4 linked regions of the Oryza sativa Japonica Group genome follow. The protein of the gene in region 3 interacts with the protein of the main gene of each other region in a pairwise test. Links are inferred from orthologs where the notes say so. Each region holds a gene or a part of one and is shown on either strand. Other genes may lie near its edges. The genes, in order: mediator of RNA polymerase II transcription subunit 25, FHA domain-containing protein DDL, transcription factor MYC2-like and protein TIFY 10a.

Region 1 (4,822 bases), on a different chromosome or scaffold from region 3:
AATATTCTAAATAAAGTACAAGTCTTATAAAAGAAGGAAAAGCTACTAGAGCCATACCCAAATTCTTCCGAAGACTCCGAGGACTGAAGATTCTATTCTATTTCTATTCCACTATACTCTAGAAACTATATTAAACTTGATAGATGAAATGAATTTCTTGCTTGTGGTGTGTCTTGAAATGGAGAGAGTGAGCTCCTTGTATAGCCTCCCAATGACGGTTGTGACGGTTGGAATGGTCGGAAATACCCTCCAACCGTCATTGGGAGCTAATCCATACCGTCTAGCCGCAACCCTGCATCCAACGGCGCCAGGATGGGTTCGGCCGAACCAGGGGCCGACCCATTTTCGGCTAGCGGCCTCGTCTTCTGTTGCTCACTTCAGACTTGTGAATTTTGGCCCAATTGGTCATGTCATTTTTGCATTCTTGACCTATTCATTGATAGGTCTGATTCTCGACATTGTCTGATTGAATGATCACTTGTTTTGATGTCGATTCTTCTCCACTTAGTGTTCATTCTCTGCAAGAGGTTAGTAATCCTAGTGCCAGTGGAATATTTATTATTTTGACATAAATATGCATTGCAAGCATAACTAGTTCTCTTTTATTTAAGTAGTGTTGACGGACGAAACTGATCACTAACGACCGTCAACAAATATAAATGTGTTTTAACAATATCCATATAAGTATATCGTTTATTTCGTACGAGTCTTTATATGAGTTCACTGGTTGGGACTTGATGTTTCGTGCAGAGGTTGATGATATTGCAGTCATTATATTTTGAATGTTGCATTTATCTGGAACATTTTTTTAGCGAATTGAAACAATTTTTTATAAGTGGTGAAACATCATTAATTTTTTTTATATGTGAGATCTTGTTTGTAAAGATTTGAATTACAAGAAATACAACGGTGCAATCATATTATAGATTGGATTAATAATTTAAGAGAAAAAACATTTAAAGTGTGTTAAGAAAAGCAAGATTTGTATGGAGAGATGAGAGATAGGGAATTATGGAATATTGCATGTAGCTGATATGAGGCAAGGAAGTAGTTGACATACATGCTGCATGCAACAAATATGTAGGGTGCAACACACGCAGAGATGAGGCAAGGAAATACTCCCTCCGTGGTTGCTATATTCTGAGACGGATGAAGTAGTTGACATGCATGATGCATGCAACGAATATGTAGAGAGCAGCACACGCAGGAGGTGCAGGAGGGGGGCACCCGATTTTTCTCTTGAAAATCGGGCACCCGATTCTTAGTTACTCCCTCCATTCCATAATATAAGGGATTTTGAGTTTTTATTTGCATTGTTTGACCACTCATCTTATTTAAAAAAATTGTGCAAATATAAAAAACGAAAAGTTGTGCTTAAAATACTTTGAATAATAAAGTAAGTCACACAAAAAATAAATAATAATTCCAAATTTTTTTAATAAGACGAGTGGTCAAACAGTGCAAATAAAAACTCAAAATCCCTTATATTATGGGACGGAGGGAGTACCTCCTAAAAATACCCTTAGTTTAGCCGAAAGGCTACACTCAAAACTAACCTGATGTATACTAAGAAAGTAATAAATGCTCACAATTCTTCCCAACTATAGAGTACCATTATTATTACATTTACTAAACACCATAAAAGAACAATACAACTCTTTTTTACACCAAAATTTCCCCATATTCCCCTATGGCCCCACCTGTCATCCACACAAAAGCCCACCTTTCTTCTTATGGGCCTTGGGGCCCATATAAATTAGACCCCAGTACCCCACCCCTTCGCCGTCATCTCTCTCTAACCTCACGAAACCTAACAAGAAGAAGAAGAAGAGAAATTCCGGCAAGGAAGGGAGGGAGGGAGAAGTCGTTGGTGCGGGGGAGATTGATTTCGCGGGAGGGAGGGGAGCTCGAGAGGCGGTGATTCGGGGAGTCGGCAGGGTGGCGCCGGGTGCGGCGGCGGCGGGGGCGGCCGTCGGGGGGATGGCGGCGGCGGCGGCCGAGAGGCAGCTGGTGGTGGCCGTGGAGGGGACGGCGGCGCTGGGGCCGTACTGGCCCGTCACCGTGGCGGACTACGTCGAGAAGATCGTGCGGTAATGCTGCGCCCGTGCTTTCCTCCCCCCGCCGCGCCACCCTGCTTTCTTGTTACTAGTTGACTGTACGGCCGTCGCGGATTAGTGCATCTTGGATTTCTTGATGTGGAAGAATTGGACCCTTTGTTGATTGTTTAGCTGTTTATTTTGAGACGAAGGGAGTACATGGAACGCGAAGCGGTAGCTAGTTAGTTCTTGATAGTGGAAGTTAGCAGCTATCCGTGTATGTGTTTGATATACACAGTTTTTTAGTTATATTAGTCGGATATATCGTTCACTCCAAGCATTAGTAGGAGATTTGGAGATTTGTTGTTTGCTCTCACCTTCTTAATTGCAAACATTAAATGGTACTAGTTAGCTTCAATTCTGTTTCACAATGCTTATTCAAAGAGTAAGAATGCAAGCGCATCATCGATGTGTGGAAATTCGTGGTTTCTTGATGAACTGGTTGGTTGTTGGCTATATGGTGTTGTGGCACGAGATACATCTTTTTTTGCTCCTGATTCGAGGAGACTTTGTATCACTGCATATGTGCAGATCTATGACAGAATGTAGCATAATTCATCTTCTACTTTGGGTTTTATGCCTTTTCTAGTTCCTCCTTGCTCATTCAGAAGTATTTTTCTTCAGTCTAGCATATTTTAGTGTTTTTTTTTTCATGAATGATGAATGATTCCCATGAAAACCAATTTCAGTTTTTGGCTGGTGATTTTACTACTCTTCTGTACAACCAGTAATGTAATGATGGGATGTCTGTTTGGTTATGGTTATGGCTTTTCTGAAGTCCTTGTTTTCACTCTTGTTAATTAGTTGATGTTCTGGTTTCGCATGGGTGTAATTGGAATATTCATCACATGAGTCAAATTTCTTGTGTTCAAGCCTTTCAAATAAAAAAAATAATGAAAGTGGGAGCTGTTTGTATTGTTGGTCAATAATCAGTTTGCTCTGAATTATTAGGGTTTGTTTGCAGTTGCTATCCTCCTGTGCTTATTATTTAGCTTCTGTGGAAACAGTTAAGAAAAACTTCGTAGTCTGTTTGAGAAATCAAATTAATGTTAGACGAATTCTGTTAGTCAATTTAAACTGTTATTTCTCTGACAAGTGTTCTGTTTTTAGAACTGAAATAATATCTCTATTTGCAACTTGATTAAAAGAGCAGCAGTTAGCCAAACATCAAAATTTCTATAAGCTACTGTACGGAACAGGATTATCATAGTCCACCTCAACGCAAAATCCAAATGGAGCCTTTGATGTTATGTGGTGATCCACCACAGCTTCACTCTCATATACTTACTATCATGAAACTTTTAAGCTCATCTCTTGCTAGAAATTTTTGTCAATTTCTGTAGCACTTAGTAACCTTTGCATTTTTAGTACTACTATTCATGAAGCATTTCAATTTATGCAGGAGTTTTTGTGCACATGAAATGGCAGGACAGGTAATTTGCTCTCAGTATTTATCGTCGGACTTACTACTTGATCCATGTTTCCTTGACTTGTGTCAAAACTCAAAAGTGTAAATTATTATCGTGTTATGCAGAAGCTCGCAGGGACACCCCCTGAACTTGCATTAGTCGTCTTCCATACCCATGGTCCTTATAGCGGTAAAGTTTGATATCCTCCATGCCCTAAGCTTTTTATTATGATCCATTGCAATTATTTGTATTTAGTTCTATATCAACAAAACATGTAAGCTATGATAATTCGCTTTTGATTCCTTGCAGCTTTTTGTGTGCAACGGAGTGGATGGACAAAAGATATGAATGTGTTTCTTTCATGGTTATCTGGAATATCATTTAGTGGTGGAGGCTTTAGTGAAGCTGCTATTTCTGAAGGTCTTGCTGAAGCATTGATGGTATTGACATATTGGCATCGTTCAGTTCTTTTCACTTTTTGCACATAATGACTTCCTCTGGTGTTTCCTGTACTTTTTTTTTTTGGTTCAAAATGCATAAATTAGAAACTGTGGCTTACTACTTCCAAAATTTCAGTACTGCATATGGTTGCCTACTTTTGAGTTCCCGTGCAAGGTTTTAGCATTTTGTTTGGCTTGTGCAATCATGCTTCATTTGGCATATGAAATGATGTTTCTTTTTTGCCAAATGGCACATCTTTCATGTTAACATCAACAGTAGCAACCTTTAGTTCCAGGCAAGTTGGGGTAGGCTAGAGATGAAACTGATGTGCAGCCACAAAAAAACTAAGGGAAGTATAGTACTAGTAATAACAATATAGTTAAAGAAGACGTGAATTAGGTCATGATTCTGGGCATGTGGACCGCCAATTTCCATGCAACTCTATCCAAAACCATAATTCATCTCCACAGGAACGACTGGGATTTTTATGATGGCTTACCAATGTTATCGCAACATTCTTCCTTTACTCAGCGTTAGGACCAGCTATGCTGAAGCAAAGGCAGAGTTTGGTATCTTATTAACAGAGATATTTTGATTTCCTAGATGAAGGGAAATACCTCTTTTCATCTCTCACTGCACCTGAATTTGGGTCCAGTTTTGTCTAAATTAGTTGATCTACAATTTTGTTTCTCATAGTAAGCCCTGTAAACTATTAGTTGAGCCTGGACATTATGTAGAACCATGATACTTAACAATACATGTTCTACCCAACCTTTTGGATTACTTTATTTTCCAAGAATTATAGCTTGTTGTCTTGGTATTGTTATTTCCAGTATTCTCTAGAATCTGTCCTTTAATGCCCTTCTGCACAACATA
Region 2 (4,799 bases), on a different chromosome or scaffold from region 3:
CCCGGTTTCGTAAGTTGGGGGATGGGTAGTACCCGGTTTTGCGGTCAAGGGACGAAAATCGGACGGGGCGACAAATAGAGGGACCCAAAGTGAACTTTTTCCTCTTCAAAATTATGGGGGTGGGAATAAGTTCATCTTAGGTCCCTTAACTTGTCAACGAATCCGATTTTCATCCTTCAACCATAAAACCAGGTACAATGGGTCCCTGAACTATCAAAACCGGTGCGGATTAGGTCCCTCGGCGGTTTCGATGGCGGTTTTGGCTGACGTGGCGTCTACGTGGCTAGTTTAACTCGGTCTTCATCTGATGTGGCATTGACGTGGCGCTTACGTGGCAATTTGATCCAGAAAAAAAATAAAACCTATGGGACCCACGTGTCAGTTTCACACAAAAGAATAAAAAACAATGGGACCCATGTGGGCCCCACATGTCAGGCTAACTCACCCCTTCCCATCTTCCTCCTCTCCCCAGCTCCCCTCTCTTCATCTCTCTTGCGCCAGATGCGGATGGGATGGGCACCAAAGGCGGCCGGGCTGGTCCTCGGCGGTGACGGAGGGCAGCACAGGCGCCTCCCCCCACTCGACCGCGCCGCTGCGGAGCTCCACCCGAACGGCGACGTAGGACACGGTCTCCAGCCGCGACGACGCGATGGTGAAGGGCGCGGCCAGGGGCACGTTCAGCGGCCGCGCCTCGGCCGCCACCACGTCAACGGAGAAAGTCTCCTTGAGGGCATCGGACCCGAACGCCTCCGCCGGCGCGGGCGGTGTCGGTGACGGCGAGACGGCGCGGAGGCGGGTAGCGCCGGCGGGTGGTTGCTGCCTGCTCACCCCCGCCGCCGGTGCCGGGCGATTGCAGCAAGGTAAAGGGAGGAGGAAGCTGCCGCTGGCAACAGGGAGGGACGGCGCAGTCGCTGGACCTCCTGCTGATCCAGTTCCTGATGCCCGACAACGACGCGTGCCGGCAGGCGGAGGAGCAGACCCGGCGGCTGGCGTGGGACCCGCAATTGGTGCCGGTGCTCGTGGATACAAAGCAGCGGTGGAGCTGGTGGTTCATGGCCGTTGCCCTCTCGATCTTCACGGCCTTCCATGTACGGTGAGGGGGCGCAGCAGCTCGTTGTCCAGCTCTCCGTCTTCTAGGCCATCGTCTGGCTCACACTGCTGCTGTTCGTGCTCGAGGTCAGGAAGGCCGCCATCGGGATGTACGTCGACGGCACCTCGTCCTCCGACGAGTCGTCGTCGACGACGACGACGCCGGCCAGCAAGGACGTCGAGGCCAGCGCCGGCGCCGCATCCACGGTCGTCGTCGTCGTCGCGGCGAGCGGCAAGCCGGAAGCAGAAGAGGAGGGGTGATTTTGACTGACATGTGGGGTCACGTGGACCCCGCCATTCTTTTATTAATTTGTGTGTGAAACTGATATTTAGGTCCCACGGAATTTATTATTTTTCCGGATCAAATTGCCACATCAGTGCCACGTCAGATCGTGATCGAGTCAAATTAGCCACGTAGGTGCCACGTCAGCCAAAACCACCATCGAAACCGCCGAGGGACCTAATATGCATCGGTTTTGATAGTTCAGGGACCCATAGTATCTGGTTTTACGGTTGAAGGACGAAAATCGGATTCCTTGACAAGTTAAGGGACCCTAGATGAACTTATTCCCTATGGGCCACCACAGAGTCTTCCATATGGGCCCTCATCTAACTGGGCCGCCGTCGCTTAGCAACTTGGGCTCTCTATTGGGCTTTCGCGGTCGTCTTGATATTGTACAGCCTTCCCGGACTCCGCCTCCGGTTCCGGATTGTTCTCTGAAGCCGAGCCCTCACAGAGAAGAAACCCTCGGTTCGCGGTCGCCGCTGGCCGGTCGCCACCGGCGATAACCTCGCCGCCGACGACTCCGCATCCGCTTCCGCCGCACCCGGTACGCTCCCCTTCCTCCCTCCCTCCCTCCCTCTTTTTTTTTTTGGCGGCTCCTCGGACTGAGGCCGCACAAAACCCTAGCGATTCCGCGATTTTTCTTCGTAGTGCTGTTCTGAATCGGTTTGGTTTGGGGGTGATGCTGCTCCAGGTGGGGAATGGCTTCGGCGGTGGAGCGGAGGGAGCATTCGCGGAGGTCGGGGCGCTCGAGGTCGCGCTCGCCGGCGAGGGACCGTGGCTCGCCGCCGCGCAGGCGGAGCCCGCCTGCTCGGAGGGAGAGGTCACCGGCTCCGAGGAGTCGCTCGCCTAGGAGGAGGTCTCCTGTTAAGACTACTAGCTCACATAGGGAGAGGTCGCCTGTTCGGAGGAATGGCTCACCTAGGAGGTCTCCTGTTAGGAGTATTGGGAGGTCGCCACAGAGAGATAGGGTGAAGGAGCAGGTCAGGTCGCCGAAACAAGCTCAGTCACGGTCACGGTCTCCGTCACCTGCCAGGAAACGGGAGTCTCGGTCGCCCTCACCACGGAGCAAACGATTGAGAAGGGCTCAGAGTGAGCGGGAAGGTGCAGATGCTACTGAGGGTGACCGTCGGAAGACCACCAGCAGGGAAGAGCGGGACTCGGGGAGGTACAGGGAGCGTGATGAGGGAAAGGATGTGTCAAGGGATAGAAAGACTGAGAGGGAGGATAGTAGGGGCTCTTTTAAGGACAGGAAACTGGATCATGATGATGATAGGGATCACTCAAGAGATAGAAGGTCTGATCGGTCGGGTGCTTCAAGGGAGACATGGTCAAGCCGAGATGATGAAAGGCGTGATTCAAGGGGTAGAAGGTCTGATGGGGATGATCGAAAAGTCAATTCCAGGGAGCAAAGGGCAGATCATGATGATAGAAGGGATTCTGCAAGAGAGAGAAGGGCAGACCGGGATGAGAGCAATGGTGAATCAGGGAGATCATCTAGGCGTGGGCGATCAGTGTCTCCAGAAGAGCATAGGCATAGGGGTAGACGTGAATCCCGCCAGTCACCGAGGTCATCTAGAAGTGCAGCACATGGTGAGGTGTGTAATGATATCTGACCCTTTTCTTATACATATCCACCTGTTAGTTGGCGTAGTGTGTTCTTTTGTTTCATGATTGTCCCTTGTTTCTGTTCTTTGTCTGATAACCTGCACCCAAATGAATAGAAGTGAAAAAAAATTACTACCTCCGTACTTGTAAAGGAAGTAGTTTAGGACAATGTTTAAGTCAAACCTTGGGAATATAAATCATGAATAACTCTCAAGTTGAGTTTGAAAATGTAAAAATTATACGAATAGATTTGTCTTGAAAAATACTTTTATAAAAGTATACATATATCACTTTTCATTAAATATTTTTATAGAAACAAGAAGTCAAAGTTATGTTTTGGAGACCGTGTCGCTGTCCAAAACGACTTCCTTTACGAGTACAGAGGGAGTACGCCTTGTTATCAGCATTGTTGACACTAAACTTGTGGGTCTGTATTCCATGTAAACCCTTCTTGCTTCAGAGTTCAGATTCTAGAGGATATAATTAGTTGCCCGCTATCCTTTTCATTTCATACCAATTTGGTTTCTTTTCATGTTTGCTATCATATATGGCCCGTTAGTTGCAACCTAAACTTTGTTTTGATTTATTTCAGGATACAAGCTCTGTAACAGATGCAGCGTCACGGTAAGCATGCAAAACTCTATATTCAATACGAATTGTAAATTTTTAGTAGAAGCATTGCTTGCAATTGTTTTCTTGTTGTATCAATGGGGCTACGCGTGTTATGGGTGTCATACCCTCTTGCTGGAATGGTTTTGAACTTTTGATGCATATCAGCATATCCGTTAAGCAACTGTAGCAGTAGTACCTAAAACAAACAAATGTATATTTGACCAGCTACATGAGCGCAATGTTTTTGTACCTGAAATTTTAGAACTGAAAATATTATATTTGATACTATTTTGGCCAGGAGTGTTGATCCTGATTCTTTGGTGAAGATGAATGCTACTGCAGAAGCTCTGGAAGCAAAAGAAAAGGTAGGGCATACTCCATGATGAAATTTAAAATAATAACAATCTTCCTTTTGTTGTGTACAGTTTATTTATATGATGCTTGCTGTTTTCGCAGATACAAAATACTTGCCATGTCAGCTTTCTTTTTATTTAACCTTTCTCTTCATTTGTCATACACTAGTATTTTAATAATTTCATTGGTGTTTTGCAGCAAAAACCATCATTTGAATTGTCTGGAAAGCTTGCTGAGGAGACTAACAGAGTTGCAGGTGCTGTTTTGAAGCCCTATATCTTTCTTTTTGGTCATGAACCTAAATGTTACACTTTACATTAATGTTTGTTTAACCACCAATGAGAATTTGTAATTCCTTGTTCTTTGCTGTATTGCATTGTCCTCAGAGTTTGCAATTTACTTCCATTTCAGGTGTAAATCTGTTGCATTCAGAACCTCCAGAGGCTCGCAAGTCAGATATTAGATGGAGACTCTACGTCTTCAAGGGTGGTGAACCACTCGAAGGTAGTTATTCTTGACTTGTTACTCTATATATGAAGCTAACTTTTTTCCTTTTGTCATGCTATCTGTTCGAGTTAATAGTTTTTAATAAATAGAAGAAAAAAACATTTTTTGGATTTGCCAGTCTGTAGAGGCATGTTCTTGTCTAGTTCAACAGCTGTTTCTCTATTTCCCTTCCCAACATGGCCAAACCAAAAGTAGGTTCTGTTAAAAGCAGTAAGCTTAACTGACTGTGATGAAGCGAGTATGGAACATAAAAACATTTTCGAACTAGCTTAATTTCGGAGAGTTTTGGAACGAACCATTTAACGTGAGCAAAGGCACTAACGAGTGGGTCACTATGATATGAGCT
Region 3 (4,954 bases):
TCATTGAGATAAAGACAAAGAGAAAAATTAAAGCTATAACCTTATAACTAATCTATTATATGTGTTGGTTTTAACTTTTAATATGGACTATTTTTTCCATTTCAAATTGATCATCATCTTACGTAGATGTACCAAGACCAAAGGAAGCTTCTCTCGTCCTATATTTACTCCAGTAACAAACTTGGTGTATGCATCATCCCCATTATTCTTAGATGCATAAATCAATATCCATTTACTCTAATGCACAAAAACGAATATACTTAATGAATGAATGCAAATATGATATCATTTAGAAATAACATCAATAAAATTATATGATGATCAATTTAAAACGGATGGAGTAACAGGTAGCAGTGAGTTATACTTATGAAACTTGCTCTTATGAAAATAACATTGCTGTCAGTCAATTGATCTTTTTTTTATGACAATAGTACAAAACTGCCCGCAAGTTAAGGAAGGGGAAAATAGCCTTAAGGCTTGAGTAACTCTTGATAATGATAGAATTCGTCTTAAACTTAACCATAGGACCGCATGAACCTTCTGGGAGAAGCACACGTGATTTTATATTTTTCTTCAAAGGAATACGATGTGATCCACAAAGTCCTAAAAAGATTTAGTAGTAGTATAAAACATTGTCAAAATTCGGATCGAGCGAAACATATGCTCCACCACTGCCTCCTAACATGTAATGTAAAATCTACAAAGATAAGGGATCGTAAAACACTTCCCACGAGAGGAAAGCAGGGAGAGAGAGCATGGTATGGAGGGGAGGACGCTGACATGTGGGATCGAGCGAGAGCGGAGGCTGATTACCCGGAGGGAGGTTACACAAACAGGAGATAGGAGGGTGGTTGCGGCGGCTAGGCGAGCGATCCCATAGGCCCAAGCCACCATGTGAGCGCACCGATGATCCGAAAATCGCTCTTTCAAATTCTATTTTTTAATATATATTTTTAGATTATCATTATTTTATAACTATTTTTACTATAAATTATACTAGATAAATTCATCCTAAAGATGTCAAAATCTTTTATAAATTTTTTTAAGATAATTATAAAAAAAATTTATTTAAAAAACCTTCTGTTTTTTTAAATAAAGGTCTATATATAAATTCACGATATACAAAATGCATGCAAACTTTCTATTTATAAACTTTATTATGTATAAATACTCGTTATTTCAGGGAGGCTGAAAAGAAAATTAGTATATACTGTACTTTATTATTTGCAGTATACAAATCGTGGAGGCTAATCACGGAATGATGCGCATATGCATGATTTGTGTGGAAACATGCATACCACACGTTGATAGCGAAAAATAGGAATTGCGGGCGATTTAACATGGTATGGCTAAAAAAAGGAAGATGAGTGAAGCGGTGATGGTGCGGCTGGCGGACGCGCGAATGATCGCTAATTAGGAGTGTAGACATAGGAGGAGTGATAATACCGAAAATACCCCTGGACACTAAATATGATTTGATTTGAGTGATTAGCCATGGGACCCATGTGGGTTTTGTTATCTCCTCTCCTCACCACCAAAAATCCATTCCACCCCATACCCATCCCCACCTTTCCTCTCCTCCTATTCTCTTCTTCTCTTGTAGGAGTCCTCTTCCAAATCAAATCAAATCTAGAAGAAGAAGAAATCGAGATCAAATCGATGAACCTTTGGACGGACGACAACGCGTCGATGATGGAGGCGTTCATGGCCTCCGCCGACCTCCCGGCCTTCCCGTGGGGGGCGGCCTCCACCCCGCCGCCGCCGCCGCCGCCGCCTCACCACCACCACCAACAGCAGCAGCAGCAGGTCCTGCCGCCGCCTGCAGCAGCTCCGGCGGCGGCGGCGTTCAACCAGGACACGCTGCAGCAGCGGCTGCAGTCGATCATCGAGGGGTCTCGGGAGACGTGGACGTACGCCATCTTCTGGCAGTCCTCCATCGACGTCTCCACCGGCGCCTCCCTCCTCGGCTGGGGCGACGGCTACTACAAGGGCTGCGACGACGACAAGCGCAAGCAGCGCTCCTCCACCCCCGCCGCCGCCGCCGAGCAGGAGCACCGCAAGCGCGTCCTCCGCGAGCTCAACTCCCTCATCGCCGGCGCAGGCGCCGCCCCCGACGAGGCCGTCGAGGAGGAGGTCACCGACACCGAGTGGTTCTTCCTCGTCTCCATGACCCAGTCCTTCCCCAACGGCCTCGGCCTCCCCGGCCAGGCCCTCTTCGCCGCCCAGCCCACCTGGATCGCCACCGGCTTGTCCTCCGCCCCCTGTGACCGCGCCAGGCAGGCCTACACCTTCGGCCTCCGCACCATGGTCTGCCTCCCCCTCGCCACCGGCGTCCTCGAGCTCGGCTCCACCGACGTCATCTTCCAGACCGGGGACAGCATCCCCAGGATCCGCGCCCTCTTCAACCTCAGCGCCGCCGCCGCCTCCTCCTGGCCCCCCCACCCCGACGCCGCCTCCGCCGATCCCTCCGTGCTCTGGCTCGCCGACGCGCCCCCCATGGACATGAAGGACTCCATCTCCGCCGCAGACATCTCCGTCTCCAAGCCACCACCCCCGCCGCCGCACCAGATCCAGCACTTCGAGAACGGGAGCACCAGCACGCTCACGGAGAATCCCAGCCCGTCGGTGCACGCGCCGACGCCCTCGCAGCCGGCCGCGCCGCCCCAGCGGCAGCAGCAGCAGCAGCAGAGCAGCCAGGCTCAGCAGGGCCCCTTCCGCCGGGAGCTCAACTTCTCCGACTTCGCGTCCAACGGCGGCGCCGCGGCCCCGCCTTTCTTCAAGCCCGAGACCGGCGAGATCCTAAACTTCGGCAACGACAGCAGCAGTGGCCGGAGGAATCCGTCGCCGGCGCCCCCGGCCGCCACCGCCAGCCTCACCACCGCGCCGGGGAGCCTGTTCTCGCAGCACACGCCGACGCTGACGGCGGCGGCGAACGACGCCAAGAGCAACAACCAGAAGAGGTCCATGGAGGCCACCTCCCGCGCCAGCAACACCAACAACCACCCGGCGGCGACGGCGAACGAGGGGATGCTGTCCTTCTCGTCGGCGCCGACGACGCGGCCGTCGACGGGGACGGGCGCCCCGGCCAAGTCGGAGTCGGACCACTCGGACCTGGAGGCGTCGGTGCGGGAGGTGGAGAGCAGCCGCGTGGTGGCGCCGCCGCCGGAGGCGGAGAAGCGGCCGCGGAAGCGCGGGCGGAAGCCGGCGAACGGGCGGGAGGAGCCGCTGAACCACGTGGAGGCGGAGCGGCAGCGGCGGGAGAAGCTCAACCAGCGCTTCTACGCGCTGCGCGCCGTGGTGCCCAACGTGTCCAAGATGGACAAGGCGTCGCTGCTGGGCGACGCCATCTCCTACATCAACGAGCTCCGGGGGAAGCTCACGGCGCTGGAGACGGACAAGGAGACGCTGCAGTCGCAGATGGAGTCGCTCAAGAAGGAGCGGGACGCGCGGCCGCCGGCGCCGTCGGGCGGCGGCGGAGACGGCGGGGCGCGGTGCCACGCGGTGGAGATCGAGGCCAAGATCCTTGGGCTGGAGGCCATGATCCGCGTGCAGTGCCACAAGCGGAACCACCCGGCGGCGCGGCTGATGACGGCGCTGCGGGAGCTGGACCTGGACGTGTACCATGCCAGCGTCTCCGTGGTCAAGGACCTCATGATCCAGCAGGTGGCCGTCAAGATGGCCAGCCGCGTCTACTCGCAGGACCAGCTCAACGCCGCGCTCTACACCCGCATCGCCGAGCCTGGCACCGCCGCCCGGTAACTCAACTCTAGCGAGGAAACCCAATCGATATACTCTCTACTCTCCCCAAGCCGGCGTAGCCATGGCCAGAGCTTCAGGAATGCCAAGAAGACGACGAGACGATGATCAAATCATGTTGTTGTTGTAAAATTAAGTTTAAAGATCTGTGTTAGGATGGATGGATGGATGGAGAGGATGATTGATATCAACTCGCAACTCAAGCTGAAGCTGCTGCTGCTGATCGTCGTCTTGTTTTTGATACTGATAGCAGCGGTTGGTATTTCTTTTCTTCCTTTCTTTGTTAGCAGGAAGGAAGGAAGGGAGGAAAGAAATCATCGGCGATATGTTGGTCCTTGTTAATTACTAAACCTAAATATGATAGACTTTGTATATAGGATTTGGTATTGTACCATCATCATGCCAATGAACAAGGGAGGAAGGAAGGAATACAACATGTTGTGGTGTTTTTGATCTCGTAAAAAAAATAAAAAATGCAATGGATATGCTCTTTTTTTGCTTGATCAATCAACTCTATTATCTCATCAGCACTTTAATGTTTAGCAACTGCAAGCAAGGAGATGAGGAGGAATGGTGGTTGGTTGGTTGGATGGATAGTTATTCATCCTGTTCATGTCCTGCCATAGCCCGTAATGATCCATCTCTTCTTCAACGGAGAGCAGCACGGAGAAGACGACCTGCACACACATGATGGGGACATGGTCTTGCAGCACATGTGAGTTGGGTGGGTAGATCTCGCCATCACAAACAGGCAGTAGCACAGTACGATTAGCGACCGAGGGAGAACTGAGAAGCAAGCAAAAAGCAAAGTAGGAGCTGCTCTTCTTGGCTTGGCAGCACAAAAACGAAACAGACCAAAACAAAGCTGGATGTGCGTGTGAATGATAGATCATCAAAGCTAGGTTTAGGGCACCCGCAATGGTTATCTATATGCTCTCTACAAGATACCCATGTCAGCATATTTTCCTATATGGAAGAGATTAAATGAAGAGAGAGAGCAAATCTATCTACTAACTTGAAGATAGTCTATAGAAAAACGAGGCAATGCATTAGATAGCTATAGATACCTATGTAGATATACTATTGAGGTGGTTTATTATTAATTTAATTTATTATTTAGGTATATATGTTTTATGGAAAGCACCTTAGTGATGAGAGATAAAATGAACGTTGACATGAAGGACATGGCAGGCCAGGA
Region 4 (4,893 bases), on a different chromosome or scaffold from region 3:
AATTGCCAATATGGTCCAGCCCGGCTAACATTGGGCGTAACAAACTATGGCAAAGTGTTGCTGGTAACCAAACACCCCCCTCCCCCTCCCTAAATTGTACTCCCTCCATCCTAATATAAGTGCAATCTAGTATATGACATATTCTAATAATACGAATTTAGACAGCCCTTTCGTCCTAATATGAGTGCAACCTAGTACAAATATGACATATATTAGGATTACGAATCTGTGCAGACAATTGTTCAGATTCGTAGTATTAGGATATACCATATATGTACTAGGTTGCACTTATATTGGGTCGGAGAGAGTAAGTGCTAGTATTCCATTCATTTCATAATATAAGGCACAACTATTTTTTAGATGTTTCATAATATAAGGCATGCATGAATGCATGCCATTAACTAGCACATCTTTCGCACTATGATTTTTTTTTAAATCCTCCATCCTCAAAATCTTTAATCCTAGAGAGAATCTATTCTATACAATTGAGTTTGTTCGAGTTCAACGATTTACCATCGACATTGTCGATTTATATTATATACCAACGACTTTATCAATCGTTCATCAATACGCCATTGGGATATGTCTTCTTTTCAAAAGTACCCAAATTCCTCTTATGGACATATAAGATTAACAATTGATTTATCTCATTAGGAGTTTAAAAAATATAAAAAATTTTATGTGACCTCCTTGCATAACATGGAAATTTGTATAGAAGTTTCGAGTTTTTATATTTCTATTTTTTAAAAAATATAACTTATCTATTATATGCTATATAAAATACTTTTTATTGTTGTTTTAATATAAATCATCTTTCATACAATGCATAAGATATTTTTATGATATTATCTCTTGCGTAAGCAAATTCTCTATCATATACCACATAAAAATATTTTTTCTAAAATCTAAATATACCATAAAAAAATTTCAAACTTGTATACAAACTTCCATATTGTGTAAGGAGGCCACTACAAAGTTTTCATATTTTTTTAAAACTTTAGATGAGATAAATCAATTGTTAATCTTGTATGTTCGTAAGGGTATTTTGGATATATTTGAAAAGAAGGCCCAACCCAATGACATATTGTAGAAGAATTGATAAAGTTACTGGTATATTATAAAAAGAGATAATGTCGATGGCAAATCGTTGAACTCGAACAAACTTAATGGTATAGAATATATTCTCTTTTAATTCTATTGGTGCATACATTATAGTTATTTGGATGATCTAAACTATGAGATGATAATAGAGTCTTATATTCTTATATTTTAGAATGGAGACAGTATCTTGAGATGAGGAAGGAAGTACTACTCCATCCAAAAGAACGAATTCATAGCTACGAACCTGAACACATATATATATCCAGATTGGTAGGTAGGATTGGTTTTTTCTGGTACGGAAGGTTATGCATTTTAGGACGAAGGGCCCCACTCCTTTGTCGGCCACGTTGCATCCAATCAAACCTAACGTCACGGCATACCACACCGGCACACAGTAAACACAAACCAGGAAAAAGATAACGAGAGAATAGGAATCTGCGCACCTTGCCAATCTCCACAACAATCACGTGCTCAAACAAAGGCACCAACACCCAAACTAACTTTTTTTTTTCCCTCGCAACTTGCGATTACAAAAATCGAAACTTTTTCGTCTTAAAGATAATCCCCACCATTATTGTTATTGTTAGTCTCGTGCGTCCCTTATATAGAACCTGAACCGCCGGACGGAGGAGGAAGACAACTCAGAGACAGACAAGGACGAGCAACCCGCAACCGCGACCAGAGGAGAAGACTCGATCGAATCGAATCGAAGCGGGAGGATTTCGGGGGTCCGTGACTCCGTTCGGAGAAAAGGATTCAGCTTGTGGGCAGAAGAAGAAGAAGAAGATGGCTTCCGCGAAATCCGGGGAGAGGGGGAGCAGCAGCTTCGCCATGGCCTGCAGCCTGCTCAGCCGCTACGTCAGGCAGAACGGCGCAGCCGCCGGCGAGCTCGGCCTCGGCATCAGAGGTCACCTCCCTTTCTTTTTCTTTTTTTCCTTCTGCAAAGTCTGGATCTTTATCTTTACGGGTTTTGGGTGAAAAAAACCTCCCCTAGGAAGGTTTCCGTGAGATCTGGTCTAGTTCTTCGAGCTTTGGAAGCGAGAATTCCCCCATGTAGAATTTTATTCGGCTTAAACCAGTCTCAACCATTCCAATTCTGCGCATCTAGCTAGCTGTAAAATTCGCAACATTTTTTTTAAATCTGATGTTGTGAATCTGGGCTGAAAAACTATGTCATATCATTTTTCAGGTGAAGCCGATGCGAACAAGGGGAAGGAGACCATGGAGCTGTTCCCCCAGAATTCCGGGTTCGGCTCTGAAGCTGCTGCCGTGAAGGAGACCCCGGATGCGAGGTACTCAACACAATCTTTGTTCGAATTGCTTCAGCTATCAGTTCATACGGTTCCTTTAGCTGTAGTCACATGATAGGAGAAACCAATAGCAACAATCCAACCAAACAAAGTAGTGGTTGGTAGGTAGTGTGGAGGAGGAGGAGAACATCTTGCCTTGTCCTGACCAGATCTTAGTGCTGCCAGGAGCTGAGCTGGTCAGCTCTCGGGTCATGGTCTGAAATCTAATTCGTGTGTAAAATGGATATAATTTAGTTTAGAGTTCTAGGGATGGATTTCGGTGTGATGGAAAGGTTCGATATTTAATCCAATATAGAACTGGTGCTATGCAAGTCTGCAGTTCCTTCTTCTGTTTTTTGTGCGAGTCGTTTTTTGTGCGAGTCAACGATGTATGTCTCGCAACTAATAACCACGGGTTTCAGACTTAGTGGGCTCGCACGATCCGAAAGTGAAAATGTTCTGACTCGAGTGATTCATGAACAAAAAACCCAAATATTAGTTGGTACTTACTACAAGTTATTCTTCTGAACATATGCGTAGATGGCGGGTGCTTGCTGACCGATATCAGTTAGTAAATAGTTTCTGTTGTGTAAGCTTTAAAATTGGTTAAATGGTTGTGTTTGTCTAAGCTTTCTTGTATTTCCGTTGTCAGGGAGCAAGAGAAGCGCCAATTAACCATCTTCTACGGTGGGAAGGTCCTGGTGTTTGATGACTTCCCAGCTGAGAAGGCCAAGGACCTGATGCAGATGGCCAGCAAGAGTTCCTCCACAGCGCAGAACTGTGTCCTTCTTCCATCTTCCGCTACTGCAACCGTTGCCGACAACACTAAGGTGTCTGCTGTACCAGCCCCAGCAAGTGCACTTCCTGTTGCTCAGGCCAATGCCCCGAAACCTGTTCGTCCAAATGCTGCTGGTAACTACTCTAACCTCGGCTGTTATTGCTTGCTCTGAATGATGGAATATACTTGTAGCATGTGAATCCATTTTATTGTACTAACTGTTCTTCAAATCCTGCAGATCTGCCTCAGGCTAGGAAGGCGTCGCTTCACCGGTTCCTCGAGAAAAGAAAGGATCGGTAGGTTATGCTTGCTATCATGGCAGCACAAAGTATAGTCAAATTCTACAATTCACAATTCTAGATTTTGGATCTAACTTTTGCTGCTCCTTTATTTCAGCCTTCAGGCTAAAGCACCCTACCAGGGTTCCCCTTCAGATGCTTCTCCGGTCAAGAAGGAGCTGCAGGAGAGTCAGCCATGGCTTGGGTTAGGACCTCAGGTTGCCGCTCCCGACCTGAGCTTGCGGCAGGAATCGAGCCAATGAATCAATGCTCAATTCTGAGATGCCCCTCTCATCAGATGATTCAGTCATAGAGGTTATCACAACTCTTGAATTGGGTGTTTTGTGTTAGGAGATGATCCGATGACAAGGCGATGTTCTTCTGATATATATACTAGGATTGAATGTAAAGAAAGTAGCTGATGATTATGACCAGTAATCTGAATCAAATTGCTATGATAGAAAGCAGAAGATTCTGTAATCAGTACAACCCAAGAAACCTCATTTGTACCAATTCAATATCGTTTTGCTTTGGCATTGCCATGTAGAAGCAAAGCAAATGTACTGCTAATATATACACATCACAAGATTGATTGTTATTCACTTACGCCTGTTTCCCCCCCCCCCCCCCATTAACAGGATGCATCTCCTTTTGCTGTTTCCAACATGCATTCTTGTATGAATTTTGAAGCTCTATTCAGAAACTAGAATGTTATTTGGACATGCTGAGTAGTACTAGTGTACCATGATTTGCAAGCCTTTGCTTGGCCTCAGAGGTTAGAAGACAGACAGCTCAGAGAGAGAGAGAGAGAGAGAGAGAGAGAGAATTGTGGCTCTTGGCTCTTGCACGACCTGAAAACTTGATGGAGACGAGGCACGCACACACACACACTTGTGCATACTCCGTCCAACACAGGAAGAAAACGTGTTTTGACTCAGAGGCAGCATCTGCCACTTGCACAAATGAATAGAGAAAAAAAAAAGATAAAGATAAAGATAAAAGAAAAGGAGAAGAAAGTGATGTATAACGCGGCAACGGCAGGGCGTCCGGGGAACACGCAAAAATGCGCACGTCGCTCTCCGGCTACATTCAGCAGCAGCCCATGGTCGGAATTTTTTAAAAATTATTTTTTTGGGATGAAATGACTCTCCATTTTTTTTTCTCCAAGGGAAAAGAGAAAAAAAAATAAAATCATTTTGGTGACATTGAAGAAAAACTGCATGTTCTGCGCATTTTAAAACCGGGACCAAACCGGGTTCTGCCGGACAAACAGTGGACGATCCACGTACATTAGAGTAAAGCTCACGTTCGGAAATGAAGAATAGTAGTATTTTAACATGGCTCTTGCCTGAGACTACGGTTGCCTGAGACTACGGGTGTGTTTAGTTAACGCCAAAATTAAAAAGTTTGGTTGAAATTGGAACGATCTGACGGAAAAGTTAAAAGT

The links.
Region 1: the proteins of transcription factor MYC2-like (region 3) and mediator of RNA polymerase II transcription subunit 25 interact in a two-hybrid assay, tested with the Arabidopsis thaliana proteins (2 studies listed by BioGRID, with this or other methods). The link is inferred for Oryza sativa Japonica Group from reciprocal best matches to the Arabidopsis thaliana genes MYC2 and PFT1.
Region 2: the proteins of transcription factor MYC2-like (region 3) and FHA domain-containing protein DDL interact in binary tests that used the Arabidopsis thaliana proteins (3 or more experiments, as listed by UniProt). The link is inferred for Oryza sativa Japonica Group from reciprocal best matches to the Arabidopsis thaliana genes MYC2 and DDL.
Region 4: the proteins of transcription factor MYC2-like (region 3) and protein TIFY 10a interact in binary tests that used the Arabidopsis thaliana proteins (3 or more experiments, as listed by UniProt). The link is inferred for Oryza sativa Japonica Group from reciprocal best matches to the Arabidopsis thaliana genes MYC2 and TIFY10B.

The regions. Positions count from the first base shown.
Region 1 is NC_089043.1:12,243,959-12,248,780, forward strand, and holds the start of mediator of RNA polymerase II transcription subunit 25, read left to right. Parts: upstream 1-1,784; 5' UTR 1,785-1,980; coding exon 1,981-2,090; intron 2,091-3,498; coding exon 3,499-3,529; intron 3,530-3,630; coding exon 3,631-3,694; intron 3,695-3,814; coding exon 3,815-3,945; intron 3,946-4,822. UniProt on the Arabidopsis thaliana protein: Component of the Mediator complex, a coactivator involved in the regulated transcription of nearly all RNA polymerase II-dependent genes.
Region 2 is NC_089039.1:27,209,997-27,214,795, forward strand, and holds the start of FHA domain-containing protein DDL, read left to right. Parts: upstream 1-1,790; 5' UTR 1,791-1,919; intron 1,920-2,066; 5' UTR 2,067-2,073; coding exon 2,074-2,970; intron 2,971-3,572; coding exon 3,573-3,604; intron 3,605-3,890; coding exon 3,891-3,957; intron 3,958-4,144; coding exon 4,145-4,202; intron 4,203-4,357; coding exon 4,358-4,450; intron 4,451-4,799. Other genes in the region: probable auxin efflux carrier component 5a, read left to right, coding at 939-1,093, 1,182-1,350. UniProt on the Arabidopsis thaliana protein: Involved in the microRNA (miRNA) and short interfering RNA (siRNA) biogenesis. May facilitate DCL1 to access or recognize primary miRNAs. Binds RNA non-specifically.
Region 3 is NC_089044.1:23,547,812-23,552,765, forward strand, and holds transcription factor MYC2-like, read left to right. Parts: upstream 1-1,544; 5' UTR 1,545-1,659; coding exon 1,660-3,759; 3' UTR 3,760-4,263; downstream 4,264-4,954.
Region 4 is NC_089037.1:16,853,087-16,857,979, reverse strand, and holds protein TIFY 10a, read left to right. Parts: upstream 1-1,661; 5' UTR 1,662-1,887; coding exon 1,888-2,008; intron 2,009-2,290; coding exon 2,291-2,393; intron 2,394-3,042; coding exon 3,043-3,302; intron 3,303-3,406; coding exon 3,407-3,464; intron 3,465-3,564; coding exon 3,565-3,709; 3' UTR 3,710-4,072; downstream 4,073-4,893. UniProt on the Arabidopsis thaliana protein: Repressor of jasmonate responses. Jasmonoyl-isoleucine (JA-Ile) specifically promotes COI1-TIFY10B/JAZ2 interaction. Activated by MYC2, MYC3 and MYC4 transcription factors.